Linked DNA regions of Tribolium castaneum. The protein of the gene in region 5 binds, or shares a complex with, the protein of the main gene of each other region. Links are inferred from orthologs where the notes say so. Each region holds a gene or a part of one and is shown on either strand. Other genes may lie near its edges. The genes, in order: cysteine-rich PDZ-binding protein, mdlc, splicing factor 3B subunit 4, l(2)37Cb, Sf3b2, Srrm1 and Sf3b1.

Region 1 (2,361 bases), on a different chromosome or scaffold from region 5:
AAACTGAATAAAATTAAACGGCAGTATTGTGTAAGTGTATGGATAAAACGTCACCAACAAAAAATATAATCACTGAGATAAGTAATTACTGCAAGGTGGAAAACAAAGAGGTTTGTCTGATTCATTGAATTTTGTTACGACTTCGTCACGTTTTTTTTATATACAGGGAAGTGAATTTTTAAAATCCAATCGCTGAAATTCATTTCTAAAAGGTTATATACAGTGTAGCCACTTTTAGAAGTATTTAATAATACGACAGACATCAATTTTTTCAATTATTTTTTTAGTGCAATAAGACAAAATCGTATTTTAACTTTGTGGAAATAATATTACAGGTACAGTTTTTTAGTTTATAAAAAAGTCCAAATAATAATTCTAGAATATTTGATAGTTGCGTTTTAATAATGTATAGTCAACCTTAATAACAAAAAAGAAATAGGGATAGAATAGGTAGAAATGAATTAATAAGTTAAAAATGTTATCATAAAAATGAAATAAAAAACTTTTGTCATAAGTTATTAAATATAATTACACACCTTATCATTCAAGATAATTAAATTGTCGTACACTCACTGTATACAGACAGAAAACCTAACAGTACCTACAAAACAATGCAAATTGCTCTAAAACTTAGAATAGGCTTAATTTTGTTTAAAAGTAACACACAAAATGTAGTTCAAGTTGACGATTGTTTGTAATTCTTCGTACTCAACAATTTCTTACCACACATCGCACAAATTCCTTTTTTATAAGCACAGGACTGGCAATAATGTGACCCAACCTGGTGCACCTTTTGCCTACATATTCTACAATAAAAACATGAGAAGAGTAAATCAATTTTAAGGATTACTTGCATTAACAAACCTGCAAGTCTCAAAACTGGACGTGTATGGATTAAATCTGTTTTTGCTAGCTGTTAAAGCCTTGTTTTCGTTAACTTTCCTACCCCCTGACTCAGTTGTATTTCTAGCCCCACTTTTCCAAGGATCTGGTGTTATCACTTTGCCCAACTTCTTTTGGCATTTTTCGCACACCATTTTCACAAAACACGATAATTATTGTGAATTTGGTACGAAATTGTAAACACGAAGATAATAAACAGAACGTACTGTTAAACGTCACGAAAAGTTAGGTTATGGGTTATGTGTAGTTGTATATTCGCGAAATACAACCAACACGAATTAAATAAAACACAAAACTGGTGGATTCGTAAAGAATTATATTAATTAAAATGCAATCGACTGCTTCCTTGTCGATTATTAATTCTTCCTCTTCTTTGCCTTATTATTAAATTTATTTGGACCTTTCCTTTTCTTGCCAAAATTGCTACCTTTACTATTTTTCTTTTTGCCAACTACTTCATCAAATCCCTTCAACCACCTATTTCTACTCTGTTCCCAGGCAAGTTGTTTAGTGCTCGCATTATCCTTATTTGATAACGCATTTGAACTTCCTGGGGCTATTTTCGAACTACCTTCATCGTCAAGCAATGAGGCAAATTCTTCAGCTGATGCAAATATTGAGTTTGTGTCTTTGGATTTTTTCTTCTTTGATTTTGCTGACTTCGGTTCTTCATCGTCAAAAACAACTTCCTCGTCTTCATCGTCGTCTAAGTCACCCAGAAGCACTGCAAGCAAAGGATAATTTTGTGTTTTATTATTACAAAAAATATACTTTTGTCATCATCGTTCATTTCAAGGTCATCTTCATCGAAATCTTCATCTTCGTCCATTGACAATTCTTCGTCAGAAGCATCCTCCATCTCGCTATCATCGTCATCACTATCATCATCATCTGTCCGTTCTGGAAAACAGAGCAAAATACATTTTGAAATTAAGTTGGCAACACTTATTTTTATTATTGGTACTATAAATTGTAGGTGAAATTTAAAAATCGAGTACAAAAATTAACGTTTAGATTTGATAGTTATTGTGGCCAACTTAGATTTAAAATCATTGATCACTCAGATTATTATTATTTTTGTAAACTTAATCTACAACAAACTTAGGCATTTCTGTCTGGTTTCCAGCGTTTGCTAATAAATATTTAATTTTTTTTATCTATGTAATTCTTTTCAAAATTTTTCTACAATTCTTTTCTACAAATTAGCAGTTGTCAGCAAAATATACTTTTTTATATTAATTATGAATCTTAATCTGTTCTATAATTATTCTTTCCAATAAATACGTGTACTCAAGCTTCTGAGGTAGAAAAAGAATTCATTAAAATTAACAAAGTAATTAATATAGAAAAAAAGATTTTTGTTATTAATAATGTTGTTCCGGTCATTAAATTAAATTAAATATTTAGACTTCCTCAACCTACTTGATATAACATACACAATAATTTGAAAAAGTATAT
Region 2 (3,097 bases), about 2.3 Mb from region 5:
AATATCATCGTTTCACCGTACGGTTTTTATTTAACTGTTGTGTCACATAAAAATCTTATTAACATAATGCATTACCACACAATACTGTGATAACTCGGTGATTAGAAAAACAATTAACGGTGATTAGGAACCAATTGGATTCCTTACCAGTAAGGGCCTTAACTTCATCCATGAAAGTCACTACGAAAATCACAAAAACAGCACAAACATTTTTTAGTGATACCATCTTGGTATTCTCGCAACTTTTGCACAAATGAGAGATGAACTTTATATTTCTTGTACAATATATATTACAGTTATAATGGCAAGGTAGCAGCTTTCTCTTTCGCGCGCGCGTTTTTGGTACTTTTGAGACAGAGAAAGATACAATGAATGTGTCCAGTTGGGGGTTACCCGCTTGACTGTTACTATACCTTTCACTCAGAAGCCGCACCTCACTAAGAAGTAGCGTCTTCTCTGTCTCACTCGCCTCTTCACGTGTGGGATTGGAATAAAACCAGTTCAATTTTTTATTTGTTTATTTATTACACAATTTACAAAAACATTAATCGGAATCCGAATCTGAGTCATTCTTTTTCTTAGGATTATCCTCTCGATTCAGCCGCGCTATGAGTTTCCGCGCGGGGTTGAAAACGCCACTCGTTTGCGTGTTGCAGACGAAGCACCTCGTCGTCTTCTTGTACCTCTCGAGGGCGCACTTCTCGCAAAAGTAGTGTTTGCACCTAAAATTAACTGTAATAAAGACTCGTAAAAGGTGCCTCCTACTTTGTGACAATCGGGTCCACGAAGCTGTCCCTGCAAACGACGCATTTGAACGGCAAATCCTCTTCGTCCGAGTCAATCTCGTATTGTTTATCCTCGTCGCTTTCTTGCCCATATTTGCCTTCCGCCCATTCCCGCTCAAGCTGCCAGCCGTGTTTGTAGTCACTCCTGTCGTGCAAAAATTTACAACTGTCCCCGAAACCGCAAAAGCCTGTTTCTTTGTAGTCCTTGCAAATGTCGGGTTGGTAGTCCCACCGGACGGTGGCACGCAGGTTTGCGGGGGCTCTGATGGGGCCCTTCCTGACCATTCCCGAACTGGCGTTGCCCGCAGCCGTGTCTTTGGGCTTGTAGTACTGTGCGTAGTTGTTGATGCCTCTGTAGACTTTATCGTCTTCCTTGCCCTCAAGATTTTTATTAATTTCTAGCCGCTTCTCGAAAATGGCTTGGGCGTCACGATCGCGCTCAGTTTCAAACTCCTTTAATTAAATAATTATTGATTGGATAATACTAGTGAGTGGTTAAGTGGCTTACAAGAGTCGCCGTCGCTCCCTGATCTTGAGGTCCCTCAGGCATAGCGGACCGTTTGGACTTGTAACTAACCATAATTTCCTCCTCACTGCTTGAGTAGTTCTGCTGCTCATGTTCTTTTTGTTTGGCTTTGCTTGTGGTTTGGAAGTTGGGGTTTGCTTTTCCCCGACGCCGGTTCGCCCGCTTCACCGCAGATTCGTCCTCACTGTTGGACTTTTCTGAAGAAATCGCAAACAAACATAACCTTTAAAACACGAAAACTAAGTCTACAACAACAGTGAAGGTTAATTCACGGATTTGGGGTACCCACCTCCTTCCGAACTGGATTTCTGGCGCTTCCGCGCCCCTTTATTTTTTATATTCCGTTTTTTAAATATAAAAGTGCAACTTTCATCAAGTCCTGTTTTAACGTCACGCGGATCATCCATCTTTGACAAGTGTCAAGTGTCAGTGCTGACGCCAAACAAAATATCAAAAATTTCAAAACTCAATAACGCCTTTGTGGTGTTAGACTTGAGCCAAAGCAATTTAATCTAATTTGAATTTGTAATTACACGTTTTCCTAGTGCGTCATAATGGTAATAGCAAGTGCTTGAATGTTAATTGCTTTCGCGGTTCTGTTGGTAGTTATGGGTGACGGTTCCTGATTGGCTAAATTTGAAAGTGCGTTGACGTTTGGCATCCATCTGCATCGTAACGAATTTTCTACAAATCAATTAAAGTAGAATTAGGATAATTTATTAGTGAACGTGGTAAAAATGGCCCAAAATTTCAATCCGTTCGTGGAGCAAGTGCCCGAGAACGTAAAGCAGGCCGAAAGTTCCAAGAAGGTATCGAACGATAATCACGCAGTGACAAAAAGGTGGGCAAAAAGTGAGTCTAAATTGGGGTGCTAATCTTTGTTCGATTTGCAGATTGCACAAAGAGCTTATGACTTTGATGATGTCCGAAGACAAGAGCATCTCGGCGTTTCCCGAGGGCGACAACCTGTTCAAGTGGGTAGGTACCATAATGGGGCCCAAAGACACGGTTTATGAGAGTTTAAAATATAAACTAAGTTTACAATTCCCGAACTCGTACCCCTACGCGGCCCCCGTAGTAAAATTCATCACGCCTTGCTTTCACCCCAACGTCGACACCAGTGGGAACATCTGCTTAGATATTTTAAAAGAGAAGTGGTCGGCGCTTTATGACGTTAGAACAATTTTGTTATCAATTCAGGCCTTGTTAGGGGAACCAAACACGAGGAGTCCGCTGAACACGACGGCCGCCGACAAGTGGAAGAAAAAAGAAGAGTACAAAAAGCTGGTGTTAGAGTCGTACAAGGAAGTCTAAATTTGATCTCGCATTAGAAAAATTTCAGTTATTTAAGATGTCATTGTGTAATAATAGACTGCGTACATATTTGTGTTATATAATTTTTACTATTTCTCGTGTGTTATGATTGAATAAAACGATCAAGTTTCAATAATTTATTTACATAAATAAATATTTGGCTTAGCGAATAAAAATACGTTATCACGACTAGGATTTCACGATAATCAAGGTAAAAAATAAAATAATTGTGGTTACAGCCAATACAAGGATCGCGCACATCTTGCGGTTTTTCCGCTGATAAGCGTCTGCCTTTTGCAGCTGTTTGAAGCCTTCGTAGACCTGGATCTGCGTCTGTTCCACGTTGTAGTCAATTCTGTCCAGAACTGTCCCCTGGTCGGCGACCATCTGACTGAGATCTTTGAAAATTTCGTTCAAGTCAACAATGGACTTAACAATTGCGTTCACTTCTTGCTCCCGCTCTTGCGCGAAC
Region 3 (2,353 bases), on a different chromosome or scaffold from region 5:
AATGTCAGTTTGACAAATTCGTGACACTTGACGGTGTTGTCGAAGTGCACATGTAAATCAATGTTCAAGGATACCACCCTTAGATAGCCCTTAACTGTTTAAATTTGCATTGTTTTTGATAATTTTTTTATAGCTTTGTGTTGGTAATGAAAAAATGAAATTGATGACGCACACGCAAATCGAGCTGACCGCCACTATACCTAACTAGGCAGAAAAATATCGATAATTTCTTATTTCTTTTTCTTTCTTTTCTTTTTTCTCGTTAATTTTTGTAGTGCGCTTTCACTTTTGCACCAAGCAATGGGCCACTCTGAATTATTAATGTTATTATTGTTATTTAAATATTGAAAACAAAAGTTTTTGTCTACTATATTTTGTAAAAGTATTTGGAAACGATAGGAACAAAACAAAATAACTAAGTTAAGTGTGAAATGTATTATTTTCTTGTAAATTTACATTTTTAAAAAATTTAAAAATTTAAAAATAATTATTAATCGTTTTGTTAGGAAACGATTACTTACTGTGAAACATAAAAACATTAAAAAATAATGAAAAGTAAAGAAGTTAAATACAATAAGTTTGTAGCTCTAGATTTTTTAAAATATGACTTTAGGAATTTTTTCAACATTTTTCCCGTAATCTACACTTGCTTCTCAATAACGTACCACTGAGTTGGTGCGCCAGTTTTTGAGGACCCTGTATAACCGAATTTCAAGATCTCAAATTTTTTCGTTGTCCGCTTCGCATGAAAAGCCCCAATTGTTAAATCAGGTGTAAGTGCCTTGTATTGCTTTATGCGACAGATTTAGGGATTCTCATGTATTGAAAAAAATTACCTATACGAGCATTCTTCCTTCAAAATTTATTTATTTATTTTTATTTATAATTTTGCTAATCTCTGTATGTTATTTATCAGTTGAGTTATTTGTCTCACTCCATTTGGTAAAATTAAACGTTCAGCTTCTCCACATACCAATCTATTTTTTTTTTCAAACGTTTTTTTTATATTTTTTAATATTGTAGATAATGAGAGACCCCGACACTGGCAATTCCAAAGGCTTCGCTTTCATCAACTTTGCAAGTTTCGAAGCATCTGACGCCTCAATCGAAGCAATGAACGGCCAATACCTCTGCAACCGCCCCATTTCCGTCTCCTACGCCTTCAAGAAAGACTCCAAAGGCGAACGTCACGGCTCCGCAGCCGAGCGTCTCCTCGCAGCCCAAAACCCCCTCTCCCAAGCCGACCGCCCCCATCAACTATTCGCCGACGCCCCTCCCATGGGCATGATGCCCCCAGGAATGACTCTCGCTCCGCCCCCACCTCCCGTAATCCTCGCTGGAATGATGCCTCCACCACCCCCCACTCCGGCAAGTATGCAACCTCCTCCACCCCCACCAGTTCCTCCACCCAGTTCTTTCCCCTCGGGGATCCCCCCTCCGCCATTACCTCCCTCCCAACCGCCCTTGCCACCAGGTGCACCTCCACCGCCTCCAACCTCCGCCGCTGGAGCACGGCCCCCTCTGCCACCAATGCCTGCCTCAACGCAAGCTTCAGGCGCCCCCAGGATGATACCACCTCCGTGGCAAGGTGGAGGTGGGTTACCGCCACCACCACCTGGACCGCCAAACTCGGCAGCGCCCCCAACGTCAGGTGCACCGCCGTTCCCGGGATGTTTCCCGCCGCCACCGCCTCCAGGGGGGCGGCCCCCGAATTGGAGGCCGCCGGTTAATTTTGGTGGAGGGAGACCACCGTTCCCACCAAGGGGACCTCCACCACCACCTCCGAATAATTTTAGCGAAAATAATTGGTAAAAACAATAATACAATAAAGTCAAGGTGAATTTTTTTATTTCGTTTTGTGTCTTGTTTTTTGGATTTTCCTATTATTATCCTTTTTATTATTGTCACTATTTCCAGTAAATGGTATTGTGGTACCAGGGGCTTGATATCCTAATTCCTCAAAACTTAATGTTTCTAGTGAAAGTAGAATATGTATCATTGGCAATTTTCGTTTAACAACTATTTGGTCTAAATCAGGAATAACTGGATCCCAAAATTCTTCTACTCTGCAAAATTGTAAAATATGATGCAATTTCTGATCCAAGTCGTCTTAGGCTGAAATTAAGTTGGTGACACTCTTAGTGGCGTTTGCCATGCAATGTCACCAACTTATTTTAAGTCATGTCAGCGGAAATTTTTAATTGAAAACAAACTTACACCCTATAACACAGTTTCGTTATTTGGTGTAACTGATTATTGTGTTCCCGTTTCATAATTTCAGCACATGTTACAGTTTTACCAACAGATTGTCCAAATCCTGTCCACACAACGGCTTTAGCACTTGGAAATTCAT
Region 4 (4,288 bases), on a different chromosome or scaffold from region 5:
TACTTAGTGAGAAACATAAAAACATTAAAAAATAATGAAAACTGAAGACATTAACAAAATACGTTTGTAGTTCTAGACTTTCTAAAATATGAGATTAGGAATTTTTTAACGAATTTTGCTCAACAACGTACCATTAAATTGGTGCGCCAGTTTTTGAGCATCCTGTATAAAAAAATTATGCATCTACCATTTTTTAGTAAATAAAATTCTCATTGCGATATTTTTTTCATGCGGTTTGAAGGTAACTTTTTTTATAGAAAAATAAATCGACTTTAACTTATTTAATCTCGGGTACAAATATTTAAAATAAGATAAAAACTGATCTGTGACGTAAAGACCATTTTTAAATTACTGTTCTTAAACATTTTATTTCAAATTTTGCGTTCATGTGTTTATTTGAACAGCTCCTCCACAGACGTTCTCAGTATAGTTCAACATTAACTATTTGTCATGGAACTATTAAGCTAATATTTTCAATTGAGAGCATTCAAACAGCAATACAATTTACCTATAAATTACTTATTTAATGAAAAAGTATCCAAATGATTCTTAAACAGGTGCTAAATCGGTTCTTGTAAGAAGATTACAGAGAAATAAAAAAATAAATGCCTACTTTTTAGAAATACAGAGCAATTATTTTAATTAAATCTACCTACTATGAACTGAAAAGGTCAAATGCAAGTCAATACTTTGTCTTTTCTCTATTTTTAGTTTGAATAAAAACGGCTTATTTCTGACGATTCTTTGGTTAAAAACGAAAGATTGAAAAAACTCTAGATAAAAAGAACGTTTTTTTTGCACTAATTTGGACGAAAACGATTTATTTTATACAATTTCTTGCTTAGAAACGAGAAAACTCTTTGAGAAGTGGCTGAAAACCGCCTTATTTTAGCCGAAAACAACGATTTATGTTATAGTTTGGATGAAAACGGCTTATTTCTGGCTATTCTTTGCTTAAAAACGAGAAAACTCTCATAAAAGAAGATTGAAAACGCCTTATTCTAGCTCAAAAGAACGGTTTATGCACTAGTTAGAACGAAAAAAAAAATCATTTTGTATAATTTCTTATTTAGACACGAGAAAATTCTTGTATAAGTGGCTGAAAACGCCTTATTTTAGCCGAAAACAACGATTTATGTTATAGTTTGGATAAAAACGGCTTATTTCTGGCGATTCTTTGCTTAAAAACAAAAAACTCGCATAAAAAAAGATTGAAAACGACTTATTCTAGCTCAAAAGAACGGTTTATGCACTAGTTAGAACGAAAACGATTCATTTTGTACAATTTTTTGCTTACAAACGAGAAAACTTTTTGAGAAGTGGTTGAAAACGGCTTATTTTAGCCGGAAACAAACAACTATTTATGTTATAATTTGGATGAAAACGGTTTATTTCTGGCGATTCTTTGCTTAAAAACAAAAAAACAACGCATAAAAGAAGATTGAAAACGCCTTATTCTAGCTCAAAAGAACGGTGTATGCACTAGTTCGGACGAAAACCATTCATTTTGTACAATTTCTTGCTTAGAAACGAGAAAACTCTTTGAGAAGTGGCTGAAAAGCCGTATTCTAGCCGAAATTGACTTATTTTGGACGATTCTTTATCTATTTTCTTCCAATAAAAATTCTGTGAGACATCAAATAGTAAATTATTTTCTTTTGCCGTAATAATTTTATGAAAATATTCTAGTCCTCAATTTTTCGTTTAGCCAACAAAACTACATACTTTTGCTAATATTCAATTAATTAGCCTTCTCTCAAATGAAACGTTATTACTGCTTTTTGTGCTTTTGTAAGATACGAAATTTTTTTTTCAGAATTAATTTTTACGAATTATCATTTTGTTACTTCATGGCTCATGACGCAATTAATGTTCCATTTATTGGGACGAAGTATCATAAGATACTATAAAAAATAGAGACCTGGCATTTGCAAGACTTGGATGAAGTCAATCTGGTCCTCCAGCAACAAATCGTACTCGTCCTTCTTGGCTGAATCCTTGGCCCCGAACTTGAAGACCGCCGACGCCATTTGGTCCTTCTCCCATTTCTTCTGCTCCGACTGGGGCACCTTTTCCAGCTCATCAACTTCCACATAGTCCGCTGTTGACCCCTTGCCCAAATCCCTGGGCATGTGGTACCGCTGCACCCTTTCCAATTCACGCGCTTTTTCATGTTCCTGTGCCAACCGCAGCAATTCCCGCTTACGGTCGCGCTCCTTTTTCTCACGTTCTGTTAATCTAAAACCTCAGGTTGGCATTTACCGCAAAATCATTCCACCAACTCACATCTCCTCCTCGAACAAATACTCATCGTCAGCGATATCCTCCTCCAATTCCGCGATTTTATCATCTTTACGTTTCTCTAAATATTTACGTCTTGACTGCACCCTCAAGGCGGGGATCATTTTTTCGCGGTCTTCAGTTTCCAGTTTGAGTCTCTTGGCGGCTTCCTCGTAAGCGCGCCGGTCTGAGGCCTGGACAATGTTGCGGACTTTGGCTTCATCGCGTTTTTTGAGTCTACTAGCGAACTCGTCACGTTCTTTCAGGTCTTTACGACGAGCTTCTTCCTCACTGTCCACGGACTCGGAGTCCGAGCTCGATTCGTAGCGCTTACGCCCCTTCTTGTCTTTTTTGCCCATGGTGAGGCACTCCAGCAAGTGTTGACTACAAAATTTTACTTGTGCCTCGCTAATATGTGTAGTTTTTTGCTTAATTAAAGAGTGTTTTACTGAATTTTACATTCTTCCACCAACAACATAACCTCTAAATGTCAAAACAAACTTGACAAGTGGTTAGGTTACAAGTCCGGTGGCACCGAAATTTTGAGAATGCGATTTTAGTGATTGCATTCAAACCAATTTATTAAAATATTAAAAGGCTGTGACACAGGGATAAATAAACCAATACTTGTATTTAATATAGATTTATTTCTTATCACATAATTTTACAAGTTAATATTTTTTTACCTAGAAGAAGTGAAAATTTTGGTCTTTTTTCGCATCTACTATCACAATTTCCAATTCCAAGGTATACAAACCACTCCATCTGAAAGAACAGAGTAGTAAGTAGCTACGTTTAAATGTATACCGTTTAGATATTGTTCTATATCAATTTTTTTTTCTAAGAGCCGTTCACAGCATTTAATCATTAAATCCGGTGTTATATTATCATCTTTCCTAAGATTAAATAACTTGAATTCATCCATGCATTGTTTTTGCAAAGACCGCTCTATGTATTTATCGCTGAAATAGAAACAATTAACGGGAATCAAAATAAAACATTCACAAACTTTTTATATTCAGTCATTTTTTCCTTGGCGTGTTCTAAATTGGTTGTGATAAAATTGACTAACAAAAATCCAGGTAGGGAAGACGGGACTATAAACTGACCAGTGGGAGAGACCATCAAAGGTCCAGCTTCCCTAAAATAATAAAACATTTATGATTAAATTAAAATAAAAAAATTCATACGTTTCAACAACAATCTCAAATTCTTCTAACGACTGGGGCCACTGCTTAGGGAACCCCCGCCTTCCTCTATAGTCACTTAAAGAAGTCGTGATTTGTTGCAGGTTTCGCTCGTATTCTCCCGCCAAAACTTTCGGCATAAATTTTCTGAAAAAACAAATCGTTTTAAATTAATTCAAATCCAATCAATAATAACCAAAAGTCTGAGAAAAACTGACGACTAAATTTTATATGTGAAACATGAGAATTCTTACCTCCTGCCAACTTTGATCCCTCTCAAGACTTGCGAGACGGATTTTTCAAAACCAGGAATTCGGAATAGGATTTTGTCGTGCTTTCTCACGTTTTTGATCAACTGTGGTCAAGAATTACTTTCAAAACCACATTCAAATTTTCACTTACATCAAGCCAATTGTGCCGCACTTCCCCACTGTTGAGCATGATGTGCCCCTCTAGGCTGATCCCTGTAAAGGGTGCAAACACCAGCGTGCGGCCCTTCAAAACGTGCATAACTTCCGGATGTTGTTCAGCCAGAGACATAAAGCTTTGCAGACAGCCCCGAAAATGGGTGACATTCCAGCCGCAGTCCCAGCGGACGTCGGTCAGCTTCCACTGTTGGGCGATTTTTTTGCGCAAACGGTCGACCTCCTCGCGTAGAGGCCGATTGGCTTCGAGTTTTTCTAAGGCACTTTGGTAGTTCTTAACCAGCCAGTTGCGTAACTTGAGGGCTTCTTTGGCCTCGTTGATTTTTTGGCGCATGACAATGGGGCCAAAGATCGGGTCGTTTTCGTTCACTTTCGAAAAATCGATGTTGCTGGTGT
Region 5 (4,265 bases):
AGCTCGCCCCAGAGGGTGCGATCCACGGAAGGGTCCTCACCAATGTCCTAAACATTGATATTTGAACAAAATTCAATAAAACAATATTATAAAATACTTACATCTATGTTGGTAACATTTGTTCCAAACACATCACCGTACAATGGTTTTCCATTTTCGTCCACCGGTGGTTTTCCCCACCCACCGGCATGGTACCCAAAGGCACAACCATCAGGGATGGGGGCATTTAATCCCGGAATTTTCAAGTTGGGGTAGCTGGGTGGGGGACCATAACGTTGCATTGCAATCAACCATGGTGGGGGTACTTTATTAGCGTTAGGGCCCACAGGCATTCCTAAGGCCGTTCTTAATTCTTCTGATAAATCTCCAGGCTTTTTTTCCTTCAATCTGGTTTCAAACTCTTTGCCCTCGTAATAAAGGTCCCCATGGATGGTCATTTTGGGTTTAGTTTGCCACCTAACAATAACAATGAGATTATAAAAAAAATTCTAAATAAACAGCTGTCTATCTTTTTCAATTATTCCCAATCTCTACGAATACACAATTACAAACAATAGCAATTTTAGCTTTTATCAAAAATAAAAAAAACGTACTTGAAAAATGCGTCGTGTAATTTTTGATAATCAATATCGATTTTTCCAAGTTTGGGTCTGGTCTTTTCCCGCATTTTAGCTTTGAGTGTTTTGGATTCATCCTTATCTTGCAATGACGCACGCATTTCCATGATTCCAGTCCTTTTAATGAAATCTGGAAGATTAAAAGGTGGTTTCTCTATACCACGTTTACCTTGCAAGTACTTTCGTTTGAAACACCAATGACGTGGTACCTGAAAAACACATTATTCAGCCAATTGCTAACTCCGCATATATTTTCATCTGCTTTATTATTATGAAAAATCTGTTAAGTTTGTTCCAAAACATCACTTTTTAATAAAAAATTCAAATCCTTGCTTCTTATGCGTTCAGTAAAATGTTTAGTTTGGAACAAAGTTCGTCTAAAGAAAATAATAATTAATAATGCTACAGAATTCTATATGTGCGCAAAATTAAGAGTTTTCAAATTGGAAGTAGTGACGAAAATTATTTTTCCAAAGCTTACGACTTAATTCTATTCTTAATAATAATTTAATAAAAGGTATTCTCTTTTTTTATTAATTGTTAGTAGTTCCTGAATTTTGTTAACATTTTCGTGTTATAATAAAATTGTTACAAAGCATAATTTTTTGTGTCCCATCCGTAACTAATTATTTATAACAACTTTTAGAAGTGGCAAAATGAATTTAAATTGTTAATCCATCTTTTTTTTTTAATAAGCCATTTTTAAAATAATAGTTATGTGCCGTCCGTAATCATGGAATGGCTGCATTACTTTTAATTTTTGAGAAAATTATAATCGTTACCTGAACGGTATTTCTGTGAGCTTTCAATTGGACCAACAATTTTGGGTCCCTGGCTGTTACATCGTGCATTTCTACAACGTCTGGTCTACTGACTAGTTGTTTAAGCTCGGCGACGCTAAGTCGCGTCAATTTTTTAAGCTTTCTTTTGGACATTTTTGACTTATCGTCAAGCTTTTTCTGAAAAAAAAATAGATACATATTTTTTATTCATAATGTAATACAACACTTACGTCGTCCCCATCTTCCATTTCTTCCTGAAAGTGATCTCCTATGCTATTTAACATTGATTTACTTGACAATGATGTTGGCGTTGCCAGAACTGGGGGTGGGATATCATGCTTTTGATCAGTTATTTTAAACACGTCAAAAATGCTATAAAACTGCCGGTATTGTGGAGCCAGTTCAAGAAGACTAATCGTCTCTTGGACGTACCTTTAATTAAACTCATAACAATTTTGTCAAACAAATAGAAAAAACACCTACTCAACTTCCACATCTGTATTCCCATCCTCTTGCCCATCCTTTTTCTCCTCCTCTTCAGCCGCTTTATTCTGTTCATTCTCCCTGTTTTTCTTGTTCTTCTTCCTTTTCTTCTTCTTTTTATTCTTACTGATTTTGGTGGTCTCTTTCACCTGACTCTCTTCTTCATTTTCAACCACGGGTTCCTAAAAAAACAATCGTTATAACTATATTCATACAAAAAATTAAAAAAGCTACAATATTGTCATCTTTCTCCCAAAGCGCCTCTCTAGGAGTCTGCGGCTGTTGAACTACTGTTTCCGTTTCTTCTCGTTCTAGTTCACGCGCTCTCTGATTTTTTAACGCCAACACCTCTTCCAACACTTGAGGTAAAACAACTTCAGTTGGTGGCGTCTCCATCATCTGATCAGGAGGATCCACTTTTAGGGATAGCAATGAGGGGAGTTGTTTTTCACCACCAACACCTGAAATAGTCCAATGCGATATAAACAAACTGGTTGAAAACAATCAATTACCATGTTCACCAGCCCACCCTTGCATACCTGACCCAAACATCCCTTCCTGGTGGGGCACAGGGTGCTCCGGGACACCCTCTTGTAGCTGATCCGGATTCATTTGTCAGTAGAATCAGTGCTTGTTGCAGCCGTAAGCTGAAAGGAGACGGGATTATGGAATTGTTCTAACACTAAAAAGCACTTTTCTCAATTTGATATAACCTCTTTCTCATACTAATTTCTTAAAAAATGTTTGAATCAAAGCAAGAAGCGAACTTACTATAACAGATAGTCTGTTAAATTTTATCTACAATGAGGAAAAACCGCAAACTTTTAATATTATTAATAATTTATTGCGGCATTCAGCAACGTTTCGGTCGACATTTTTGTTTGGAATTAGAGCGAATGCGACCGTAATCGCGACAGCTCGATTTCCTGCAAAAGCGAAAACATTTCCCAAAATTTTCATACAGAATAAATCAAATGTAGTAGTTATTTATCCAGTTAGTTACAACTTTCTCTATTAACATCTTGTAAATACAATAATTTATAAATATTTAATCAATTTATTTTTCAAACAAGATGCCAATCTAATTTGGACCAATCACGCATCTCAATCTCAAATGTCAGATTCAAAAAAACGGTTTTGTTGTCGGTTTGTCATTTGTGTGCCTTGTTTACTGTAAAGTTACTATAAAAAGCGAATAATTGGATTTAACACAACGTTAAAGGTAAAAACCGAGTTTTTTTGATACGAAAATTACATAAAAATTGTTTTATAGCTTGCATTAAAATGTCAGTGAGGTCCAGCAGACGTTTAAATAAAAAACTAAATCCACCTGAAATGGAAAGCACCAGTGGCCCCTTAAGCAGTGCCAAAGCAACAAGAAGTGGACGAAAAGTCAGAAAAACGAACGATTTGCTTTTCTTCAGTTTTAATGCTTCTGCAGTGGAAAAAGAAGACGAAAATATTAAGCCAACGTCGTCAAAGCATAATAAACAGAATTTGCCTCGTTTGGAGTTCGATGAGAGCGGGAAAAGTGACAAAGGAAGCCCTTTTTTGTTCAAGGAAGTTCAAAAAATCTCGCCGCCACCTGTACCAAAAAATAAAAGAAAAATCGTCAAAGCTAAGAGAGTTCTTAGGAGTACCAAGCAATGTGAACTGGAAGACAAGTGCAATGATGAGACATTAGATCTCACTACAAAAAGTTTGAAGGAGAAATCTTCCGAAAATTCTGTAAATCTTGTGAGTGATGGTGAGGGAAGTTCACGTTTCATCACAGTCACGGAGAAAATGGCTCAAGATGGACACGTGAAAAAAGAAAATAAACATGGCAAGACACCAAAGGTCAAAAGACAGAGTGGGAAAGGAGAGTTTTCTTCGTTTAGAGACATTGAAGATTTTAAATCTCTTGAAGAACCGTCAGAAAATTGCAAGAGCGTAAATTTGAGCCCTTTAAATGAAGATGAGGGAAGTTCAAGCTACATTGAAGTCAACGAGAAGAGTACACAAGATGGACGTATTACAGAGAAAAATAGTCCTAGCAATGGTACTTTCCCCAATTTTGTTGCTTCAAGCAAGACACCAAAGACCAAAAAACAGAATTTGTCTTCTTTGGAAGCGGACGAAAGTGGGAAAGGAAAGTTTTCTTCGTTTAGGGAAATTGAAGATTCAAAATCTTTTGAAAATTGCAAGTCTGTAAACTTGAGTCCTGTGAATGAAGATGAGGGAAGTTCAAGCTACATTGAAGTGCAGGAAAAGACTACTACAGAGAAGATCAGTCCTACCATTGATTTGCCCAAATTTAATTTTGTTGCTTCAACGGCGAAAAAAGAAAAAAAATCTGAAACATCAAAGGACAAAAAACAAAATGTGCCTGTCATTGAGTTGG
Region 6 (4,000 bases), on a different chromosome or scaffold from region 5:
ATAAGCACGGAAACTTCGTGACATGAATTTCGTCTTCGGCTGTAGGTCTTTTAAAAATTAATCACGAAAAGTACCGTTTAATTACCATCTCAACCTCATTCCGAAGGCTAGTCATCTCAGACAATACGAAATACCTGACCAAATACTCAACAAGATGATGACATCACCGGTTTTCCAAAAAACCGTCAATGATGGGTAAAATCATCTAAACCCGACACTGTCCCGTGCATTACATTGACCACCTGTCCAGTACGTACCTACTCAAAGCGATACCTGATCATTGACCTCATCATATAACTGTTCTTCGGCGTTTATGTGGGCTGCAGAGGGCAAATATTTTGAATATCGGTAAATCTACATACTCGCGCGAATTGAGCCCTGCGCCCCTGCAAACTTACCGCAAAAACCGTATTTTTGCTAATGGCCATCCTGTCCTGACTCTGGCACTTATGAGACTCGAAAAATTGCAAATCTAGCAAACAATAATTTTCGGTGCGTTTCACTCAAAATTGCCAATCCATATTTGAACCACCTTTTTTCTACTTTATTTTTTCACTAACTGGCACTGTGGTCACTGGTGCACTTTGGTCGGGTGCTGCACGAAATAATTTCTTTGAAGTGTGCCAGTAGACTGAAGACCAGGTTGTTCTTGAACTTGTGAAACGGAAATGATATAATGTTGTACCTGGGAGGGATTAAAGAACAAGAACAGTTGCTAAGTGGGAGAACACCCTGTTTTCCTATTATAACAGATGACTGGCTAATAGTCGACGGACCATTACGGTTCAATGGAGGCTACCTGTCTCATCTGGGCCCCCAATTATGTTGTGCTGAAGACAACTTTGTTTCTCGAGTTCTAAGAAAAATACCAATTGGGATTTGATTTCGTGAACAAAACAGTTTTTTTGACTAGCACTTTATGTTTAGAGCGTTTGATTGGGAGTGAATGACCGGCAAAAAGCAGTTCATTTGGGAATTTTTCCGGAATTTTATTTTTTACAACTGGGCTGCTCTTGTGTGCTATTTTTGCACAAAGTAGCGTTTTTGCCTCATTTTTAGTAAAATACGTGGTTGGGCGTTGTTGTAGTTTTGCGATAAAGCGGCTTTTATTAAAATAGGTTTGAATGAGTTCTCAGATTTTAAAGTCGCGCTTGGCCCGGTCGGTGCGGTAGAGCTGCGGTGGTAAGGCAGAATCTGGAATTATCAACAAATTTGACGCCATGACGCCACGCCATTTTGTTGGAAGCAACATGGATTTGTAGAATTTAGTGCGCGATTAATTGTAAAAAACGATGATTTTTTTATTGTGAGTCGCGTTAATCGGGAGTTTGCATTAACCGCTGTAGTTTAGTGTTATAGTAAATCATGTGAAGAATTCAATTATGTGTATATCGTGAAGTCAAGTACCGGCGTCTGTGCTACAGTTCCTCGTTTCTTGATTTAGTAATTTGAGTGGTTTTTGTTAGTTTGCAACGAAAGGACCATTTCCGGACTCTATGATGATGTATACGGTGAGTTTTTTGCAAGTGGATTACGTCCCCCCTTGGTGTTTATTAATAGAACTGTCAAATATTTTAAGGGATTATTGTTGTAAACAACTCGTTTCAGGGCACAACCACCGAGCAAGACAATCGCTTCAGCGATAAGGAAAAAAAGCTCCTGAAGCAGATGAAGTTCAGCGATTGTTTGAGTCAGAGGGTAAATTAAGCCAAGCGTAGGTACCGTGATAAAGCAGCGCTCAATTGCAGGTTGATATGTCCAAAATTAAACTTGATGTCATCAAGCCGTGGATCCAAGACAAATTAACGGAAATCTTGAAAATTGATGACGACGTCGTCGTCGATTTTGTTTATAATCAACTAGATGAGAAGGTACAACATTGCCAACTGAAACTCGCTTGCTTAAATATTTACGTTGCAGTTTCCCGATCCTAAAAAGATCCAAATCAATCTTACGGGGTTTCTGCATGGGAAAAACGCGCGCGAGTTCATGGCCGAGCTGTGGGCGCTCTTGATCTCAGCACAGGAGAACCCGTCCGGAATCCCCGACTCACTCTTGGACTTGAAGCGTGAAGAAATCATAAAAAAGAAGGTTTGCATAAATTACATACTTTTGGTGGTATCACCGCTTGTGTTATATTAGGAGAAAGAGGAAAAAGAGCGTGAGATTCGGGACCGGGAAAGAGAAAAAGAGCGCGAACGCGAAAAGTCCGACAAGGAGAAGAAATACAGGGATAGGGACAGGTCCAGGTCTAGGAGGAGATCACGGTCAAGGTCGCGGCCCAGGAGGCGGTCGGTTGAAAGGTCCAGCAGGAACAACGATAGAGGGAAGGACAAGAGGTCAAGGAGCCGTTCCAGATCCAGGATCAAGATTGATGATTTGAGGAACAACGGCAACGCAAGTCCCAACGAACGGGAGAATAATGGCAGAGAGGATTCTGCCAAATTGGAAAGCAGTACTGCCAATTCTAAACATAATTCGTAAGTTTGTTTACTGATAGATTAAATTTGTTGCGGAAATTAATTGCACGTTGTGGTAAGTGGTGAGTTTTGTAAATTGCTTCAGTAACTCGTGTTACGACACAATTTCAGCAAGATGCTAAAAATGGTTATTATTTTTATGACGCGCAAAATTCGTTGAATAAATAAATAAAGAACGTTAGAGAAAGTTGGTTTCTTTCTTGATTATATCACTGGCTAAAAGTATTTTAAGCAAGTGAAAAAATTTGCACATTTTAATACTGCGTGGATTTTTTGTTTAATAAGTTTTCTAAGGTTTGCGCTATTTTGGCACGTTTTGGGATTGATTTTATTTTTATTTGTTAACGTATTAAAATAATTGTGGATTAATTTTTGTGATTTTGTATGTATTTAATAAAAACCATTCTTTGTCAACATGCATTGATGATGCAGCTTTAATCATCTAATGATGGAACGTTATATTGGAAATGGACGTAGTTGTGTGAGCAAGTTGACTTTGTTATGTGATTCAAATAATTTTCTTAAAATTATTCGAATAGATATTAGTTTACAGGTTTTTTGTAATCTGTTTTTAATTACGTCGAAAAATTATGCAAACGGTTATTTACGTTACAAGGATTAAAAACGATATGTTGCATTACGTGGGTGAGTGATACGTTGTGTTTTCATAAGAGTAACGTACAATATTTTTTCTGTAGCTTTATTAAAACATTTTTTAATTATGTATTAAAATAAATGTTATTTTTATTACAAAATTACGTTGGTATTTATCACTTTTTATTTTGTTTTTTTTTTCACACTAATCATTATCGTGCCAGTGCCTGGTAAACACGAATTTATTAATAGATTTTTTATATTTGTATTAGAAGTTTTATTTCCCGGTGTTCTTCTTTGCCAAGAAAACATTTTTAAAGTTTTTTTGTCTTAGCTTGCGTCCAAGCACTTTTATTAAAAAAAGTCAGTTATATAAACTATATTATGGCTATAAATAAATACCTCAGTCTTATTGGTTTTATAAAACTTTATCGTCCATTGTATAAAATAATTACAAAAATTAAAAACCACTTGTAAGGAAGAATAACAGTTTAAATAATAGCGTTACCTTTTTTTTGTATGTGATGGGTTGTACCGATGTATTTAATGTTTGTTCGGACATTTTGTGTAATCAAAATGCATCGTTGGCTTCGTCTTGATTCCATTATTTTTGTTGCCCGTTTTGCAAACGATGTGGGCAGGTTTAACGTTGGCTTTACTGTCTAGAGAGAGTTCCCAGCCCGTGTCAAAGCTTCAAGCGAAGCTGATGTCCATGGCCGGCGGCAACGGCAAACAGCAGCAACAGCAGCGTAACTCCCGTTCCCGTTCGAAATCAGTATCTCGCTCCCGTTCAAAGTCGGCTTCACGCTCCAAGTCACCCAGCAAATCGCATTCGAGATCCCGTTCGTCGTCTAGTCCACGAGCATCAAAGGATCGCAAGTCGCGCTCCCTCTCCAAGGACAAGGAGAAACGTCGCTCCCGCTCCA
Region 7 (3,942 bases), on a different chromosome or scaffold from region 5:
ATATTTTGTGGACGTAGGGACGGACTAAATCGTCCAATTTGTACAAAATTCGGTCTATGACTTTGACTAACAAGTGACGTTCTTGGTCCTCCAGAGTTGGACTCATTAAAAGGGGCAAAATTTGGTTAAAAAGGGGCCCTGCACCGAATTCTCGAGCCTTGTCTGTGATTTGCCTCAAGGCGGCTTTTCGCATGGGAGGGGTCCCGTTTTTGATCTTTAGGAGTAGTTTCATTATTTTCCGTTCTTTCTGTTCCTCAGGACTCAAAGCTTCTTCATCAACATCGACCAATAATTTATCAAAATATTGCGCATCTTCTGGTTTCATGAACGGCAAATTCTGCCCTTTTGGTTGATTATCCAGATATTTGGCTGTCTTATCTTCCTGTTGGATGAAAAATCCCTGGGGAGTATTAACCATGGGTGTGGGCGTGGCTGTCAATTTCCTTGCTGGCGTCCTGATGGGTATATACCCAGCCGGAGGTGCCAAAATCTTGTACCCCGGCGGAAACATCGCATCCAATTCCTCATCCGAATACGGCCTATTCCTCTCGTCAATCTCCCGCTCCCATCGATAGGCCTGGAGTTGTTCCGGAGTCATGGACGCCAAGTGTCCCGGAGTGGGCGTCGCCATGGCCATCGCCTTGACTCCGACCGGAGTTGACCCGCCCGGAGTCAGCATCGGAGTGGCATGGCTTGGCGTTCCGTGCGGCGTTTGCGGCGTCATAGCACCCGGAGTCATGTGCGCCGACGGTGTCTGAACAGAGGGAGTTTCATCCCAACGGGAGCGGCGTTTGGACGCTCCCGGAGTCGGTGTTTCGTGAATCAAGTCGGCTCCGGTTCGGTCGGTGCGCGGGGTTTCAGCCCAGCCGCTCGAATGTCCCGGAGTTTCACGCTCGGTTTTGGGTGTTTCATCCCAGCGGTTTCGACGACTGGCACTCTTGTCATGAGCGGGCGTTTCGCGACCTGGAGTTGCAGCCCCGGGGGTCGCGTCCCAGATACGGGTGGATTGGCCGGGGGTGGCGCCCGGCGTTTCACTGCCTTTGTGGCCGGGGGTTTCGTCCCAGCGGTGGTCGGCTGGAGTTTTCTGTAATTTTTTTATTAATAATTGGTTTTAAAAAATTGGGATTGTTACGTCAGCATCCCAGATGGGGGTAGCAGCTGCACTGTTGGTCGTTACGGAGAGAGTTTTCTTTTTGCTGGGGACGACGACTTCGTCTACGGTTTGGTCCCAGCGCCCCCGTTTCTTAGGTGCGCTCTTTACCTCACCGTTTGTTGATTTGAGTGAACCGTCTTTGGATTTTTCCAGAATTTTTTTCCTCAACTGAAATTAAATTACAAGTGGTCAAAGAAATCAACTTTGAGTTAACAAAGGACTCCATTGCCGGACATAATTACGAAAAAAAATTGGCTAGGTGATAAATTTTTGATACTGACCTCGTTTTCTTCTCCTTTGAGCATCTGCTCTTTCATAATCTGGGTGTAACCGCGGGCATTGATGTCTGGTGTTTTGCCACCTGTAAACATAACAGCGTTGAAAAACGCCAATTAGTAAACGGAAGCACTTGTTGGCAAAAAATGGTCAGACTTTTCTATTTAGTATCTGTTCTTTATTGAATGATTGAAAGATTTGGTTGCACCACAATTCACTCAAACTGATTATTTTTCGAATATTGGGGATTGAAAGGGAGTGAATTTGGCGAACAAATCTTGATACGTACGTGTGATTGTGCTCCATCACAAATCAGGCAGTTTCTCGCAAAACAACTGGTCAAATCGAACCTAGAAATAGGCTGGGGTAATTAATAATTTTCTATACATTGCATACACTCTTTCACTCTTGTTCGATTTTCGTTTACCAACGTTACATTTTACGGAAGTGATCCATTAAAATCGCGGCGATTACTTCTCTAGGAAGACACCCCTAAATGTTGGAATCCAATACAGAACAAATTAGTTTCTTTGTACTGATTTTTATTTAATGCCTACTTTCTCGAGTATTTTTGCTCACTCATGCATCCATTCGCTATCTTTCATATACCCCAATAACATACAAAACTTGAGATAAGCGACAGCAACAGCATTATCTCAAATTTCATATAAAACATAAACAAGTGGAAAAACGAGCTATAAATACTTGGACGAAATCAACTACTCACCGTCAGCGAACGGATCAACACGTTCGGGTGAAATAATCATCCGACGCCTCTTTTGCCTGTACTCGTCCTCTCGATCGGCAATCGTGGGCCTCCTCTTGTCAGCAAACGGATCAAAATCCTTGTCGCTCTAAACAACTCAGTTAACTACCACAAAACTTAAATAACACAAATCTCACCTGAGCGACATCATTGAGGAGCGCCACAGGGGCCCCCAGTCCGGTCCGTTTCTGACTATAACCCACATCGTCGTCCTCTTCATCGGCTTCATCGTTGGCGGCGATCGAGGTCACATAACCCTCGTATTTACCCTTACCGCCGCCCCCATCGTAGATCTCACTATCAAAATAGCCACTCTCGCCTAAACCTACACCCTTCTCGTTTCGCTCCTCTTCCACCGGAATTTCCTTCTTTTTAGACTGGATTTCACGAATTTGGGCCTCGATGTCTAGAGACGCAAAAAAGTCATGAAACGGGCTTTTGGGTGCAAAAAACAGCGTACCTTCATGAGTCCTTGGTATCTGTTCCATTTTCTAGCACCAATGCTTGTTGCTTTGGCTTATTTCGTTTCAAAACACTTTCAAGGAAAATCAATGACAAGCTTGCGTTACAAAATGGCGACTCATTAAGCGCCTGCGCGAAAATGGACCAATAGCCAGCCTGTCGCTAAAGTTGGCGGGATTTATAAATAAAATTCGGTGGAATACGTTTAAAAATATATTACGTTTTCTAAATTATTACAAGTATCATGATAATCCCTATAATCACAACAATTCTAAGAAATGTACAACAAAAACTTAAGAGCGTCTTCTTTTGCTATTTTCATAATAGGAATCATCAGATTTTCGCTTCCTGTCCCGTCTGTAGTCATCATTGTTATGCCGTGAGTGCTTTTTGTCCCTCCTTGACCTGTCCTCATCGGAACTTCTTCGCCCATTCTTTTCGTTCCTTTTACTGATTGCTTTCTCCACAATTTCCAGTTTCCTGTAATCAATTAATTAATAGTAAATTAAAAGATCTTTGTACTATTTTTTGTAATTGCCCCCTTTTTGTCGTTTTTAAATAAAAAATATTATTTTAATCGATTTAGGGATTTTTGAATTTTTGTAAAATTGTCATTTGTCAAAATTCAAGGCTAGTATGATTTTGGCAAAATATGGCTATAACTCAGTCTTTCAAATGGAACGATCCTTTTTTCTTAACAGCAATCGAACATCAATATTTATGGTGACTTTTATGAACACGTCCTATACCCATTTCCTACATTTTTAGAAATAATTACAAAAAAAAACACGGATTTTACTTCGTAATTTTCATAGTTAATCAAGTAGACCTTGCAAAATGGTCAACAACTGTCCAACTTTTATTTAGTTTTTAGTTGATTTATTATCAAATAAGCAGTACTTTTATTTAATAGCACAACTTTATCGTATTTTTCGAAAGTTTACTCGATTAAAATTGAAAACAATGAGCTTTTGGTCTTTTTTTTTTGAGATTATTTTAAAAAGTATAAGAGATAGATATAGGAGATATTGATAAAAGTCTCCATAAAAATCGATATCCTTTTGATTACCATTCAAAAATTTGAAAAAACTGTTATAATTACTTTTTGATCAATTTCAAAAAATCATAGTAGTCTTGCAATTTGACATTTGACAATCCTGAAAATTTGAAAAGACCCTTTGAACCTTTGGTTATCGAATACTAATATAATTATTTATTTATTGTAAAAGTTTCAAGAGTTGTGATTTTTTAAATGAACTACTGCAAATGAAAATTTTCGTACAAA

Evidence for each region.
Region 1: Sf3b2 (region 5) and cysteine-rich PDZ-binding protein share a complex: the UniProt entries of both Homo sapiens proteins name them as parts of the minor spliceosome. The link is inferred for Tribolium castaneum from reciprocal best matches to the Homo sapiens genes SF3B2 and CRIPT.
Region 2: Sf3b2 (region 5) and mdlc share a complex: the UniProt entries of both Homo sapiens proteins name them as parts of the minor spliceosome. The link is inferred for Tribolium castaneum from reciprocal best matches to the Homo sapiens genes SF3B2 and RNF113A.
Region 3: Sf3b2 (region 5) and splicing factor 3B subunit 4 share a complex: the UniProt entries of both Homo sapiens proteins name them as parts of the SF3B subcomplex of the 17S U2 SnRNP complex. The link is inferred for Tribolium castaneum from reciprocal best matches to the Homo sapiens genes SF3B2 and SF3B4.
Region 4: Sf3b2 (region 5) and l(2)37Cb share a complex: the UniProt entries of both Homo sapiens proteins name them as parts of the minor spliceosome. The link is inferred for Tribolium castaneum from reciprocal best matches to the Homo sapiens genes SF3B2 and DHX16.
Region 6: Sf3b2 (region 5) and Srrm1 share a complex: the UniProt entries of both Homo sapiens proteins name them as parts of the minor spliceosome. The link is inferred for Tribolium castaneum from reciprocal best matches to the Homo sapiens genes SF3B2 and SRRM1.
Region 7: Sf3b2 (region 5) and Sf3b1 share a complex: the UniProt entries of both Homo sapiens proteins name them as parts of the SF3B subcomplex of the 17S U2 SnRNP complex. The link is inferred for Tribolium castaneum from reciprocal best matches to the Homo sapiens genes SF3B2 and SF3B1.

The regions. Positions count from the first base shown.
Region 1 is NC_087394.1:8,405,689-8,408,049, reverse strand, and holds cysteine-rich PDZ-binding protein, read right to left. Parts: upstream 1,155-2,361; 5' UTR 1,038-1,154; coding exon 865-1,037; intron 807-864; coding exon 677-806; 3' UTR 501-676; downstream 1-500. Other genes in the region: Noc1 (CCAAT/enhancer-binding protein zeta), read right to left, coding at 1,260-1,627, 1,675-1,803. UniProt on the Homo sapiens protein: As a component of the minor spliceosome, involved in the splicing of U12-type introns in pre-mRNAs. Involved in the cytoskeletal anchoring of DLG4 in excitatory synapses.
Region 2 is NC_087396.1:11,857,735-11,860,831, reverse strand, and holds mdlc (E3 ubiquitin-protein ligase RNF113A), read right to left. Parts: upstream 1,741-3,097; 5' UTR 1,719-1,740; coding exon 1,601-1,718; intron 1,509-1,600; coding exon 1,294-1,508; intron 1,239-1,293; coding exon 766-1,238; intron 723-765; coding exon 545-722; 3' UTR 501-544; downstream 1-500. Other genes in the region: probable chitinase 2, read right to left, coding at 148-226; vih (ubiquitin-conjugating enzyme E2 C), read left to right, coding at 2,049-2,152, 2,205-2,625; Syx16 (syntaxin-16), read right to left, coding at 2,815-3,097. UniProt on the Homo sapiens protein: Required for pre-mRNA splicing as component of the spliceosome. As a component of the minor spliceosome, involved in the splicing of U12-type introns in pre-mRNAs. E3 ubiquitin-protein ligase that catalyzes the transfer of ubiquitin onto target proteins.
Region 3 is NC_087395.1:2,320,617-2,322,969, forward strand, and holds the end of splicing factor 3B subunit 4, read left to right. Parts: intron 1-1,023; coding exon 1,024-1,812; 3' UTR 1,813-1,853; downstream 1,854-2,353. UniProt on the Homo sapiens protein: Component of the 17S U2 SnRNP complex of the spliceosome, a large ribonucleoprotein complex that removes introns from transcribed pre-mRNAs.
Region 4 is NC_087398.1:7,190,229-7,194,516, reverse strand, and holds the start of l(2)37Cb (pre-mRNA-splicing factor ATP-dependent RNA helicase DHX16), read right to left. Parts: upstream 2,801-4,288; 5' UTR 2,640-2,800; coding exon 2,287-2,639; intron 2,239-2,286; coding exon 1,922-2,238; intron 1-1,921. Other genes in the region: T-cell activation inhibitor, mitochondrial, read right to left, coding at 3,008-3,242, 3,290-3,421, 3,471-3,614, 3,722-3,822, 3,870-4,288. UniProt on the Homo sapiens protein: Required for pre-mRNA splicing as a component of the spliceosome. Contributes to pre-mRNA splicing after spliceosome formation and prior to the first transesterification reaction.
Region 5 is NC_087396.1:14,198,314-14,202,578, forward strand, and holds the start of Sf3b2 (splicing factor 3B subunit 2), read right to left. Parts: upstream 2,801-4,265; 5' UTR 2,654-2,800; intron 2,530-2,653; 5' UTR 2,495-2,529; coding exon 2,395-2,494; intron 2,344-2,394; coding exon 2,117-2,343; intron 2,065-2,116; coding exon 1,883-2,064; intron 1,832-1,882; coding exon 1,630-1,831; intron 1,577-1,629; coding exon 1,400-1,576; intron 827-1,399; coding exon 594-826; intron 457-593; coding exon 102-456; intron 48-101; coding exon 1-47. Other genes in the region: uncharacterized protein LOC103313715, read left to right, coding at 3,167-4,265. UniProt on the Homo sapiens protein: Component of the 17S U2 SnRNP complex of the spliceosome, a large ribonucleoprotein complex that removes introns from transcribed pre-mRNAs.
Region 6 is NC_087398.1:3,112,110-3,116,109, forward strand, and holds the start of Srrm1 (serine/arginine repetitive matrix protein 1), read left to right. Parts: upstream 1-1,200; 5' UTR 1,201-1,496; coding exon 1,497-1,511; intron 1,512-1,608; coding exon 1,609-1,698; intron 1,699-1,748; coding exon 1,749-1,871; intron 1,872-1,920; coding exon 1,921-2,091; intron 2,092-2,142; coding exon 2,143-2,480; intron 2,481-3,740; coding exon 3,741-4,000. UniProt on the Homo sapiens protein: Part of pre- and post-splicing multiprotein mRNP complexes. As a component of the minor spliceosome, involved in the splicing of U12-type introns in pre-mRNAs. Involved in numerous pre-mRNA processing events.
Region 7 is NC_087395.1:16,040,238-16,044,179, reverse strand, and holds the start of Sf3b1 (splicing factor 3B subunit 1), read right to left. Parts: upstream 2,801-3,942; 5' UTR 2,684-2,800; coding exon 2,656-2,683; intron 2,602-2,655; coding exon 2,333-2,601; intron 2,284-2,332; coding exon 2,157-2,283; intron 2,152-2,156; exon of another isoform or gene 1,719-2,151; intron 1,515-1,718; coding exon 1,435-1,514; intron 1,322-1,434; coding exon 1,133-1,321; intron 1,085-1,132; coding exon 1-1,084. Other genes in the region: corepressor interacting with RBPJ 1, read right to left, coding at 2,951-3,137. UniProt on the Homo sapiens protein: Component of the 17S U2 SnRNP complex of the spliceosome, a large ribonucleoprotein complex that removes introns from transcribed pre-mRNAs.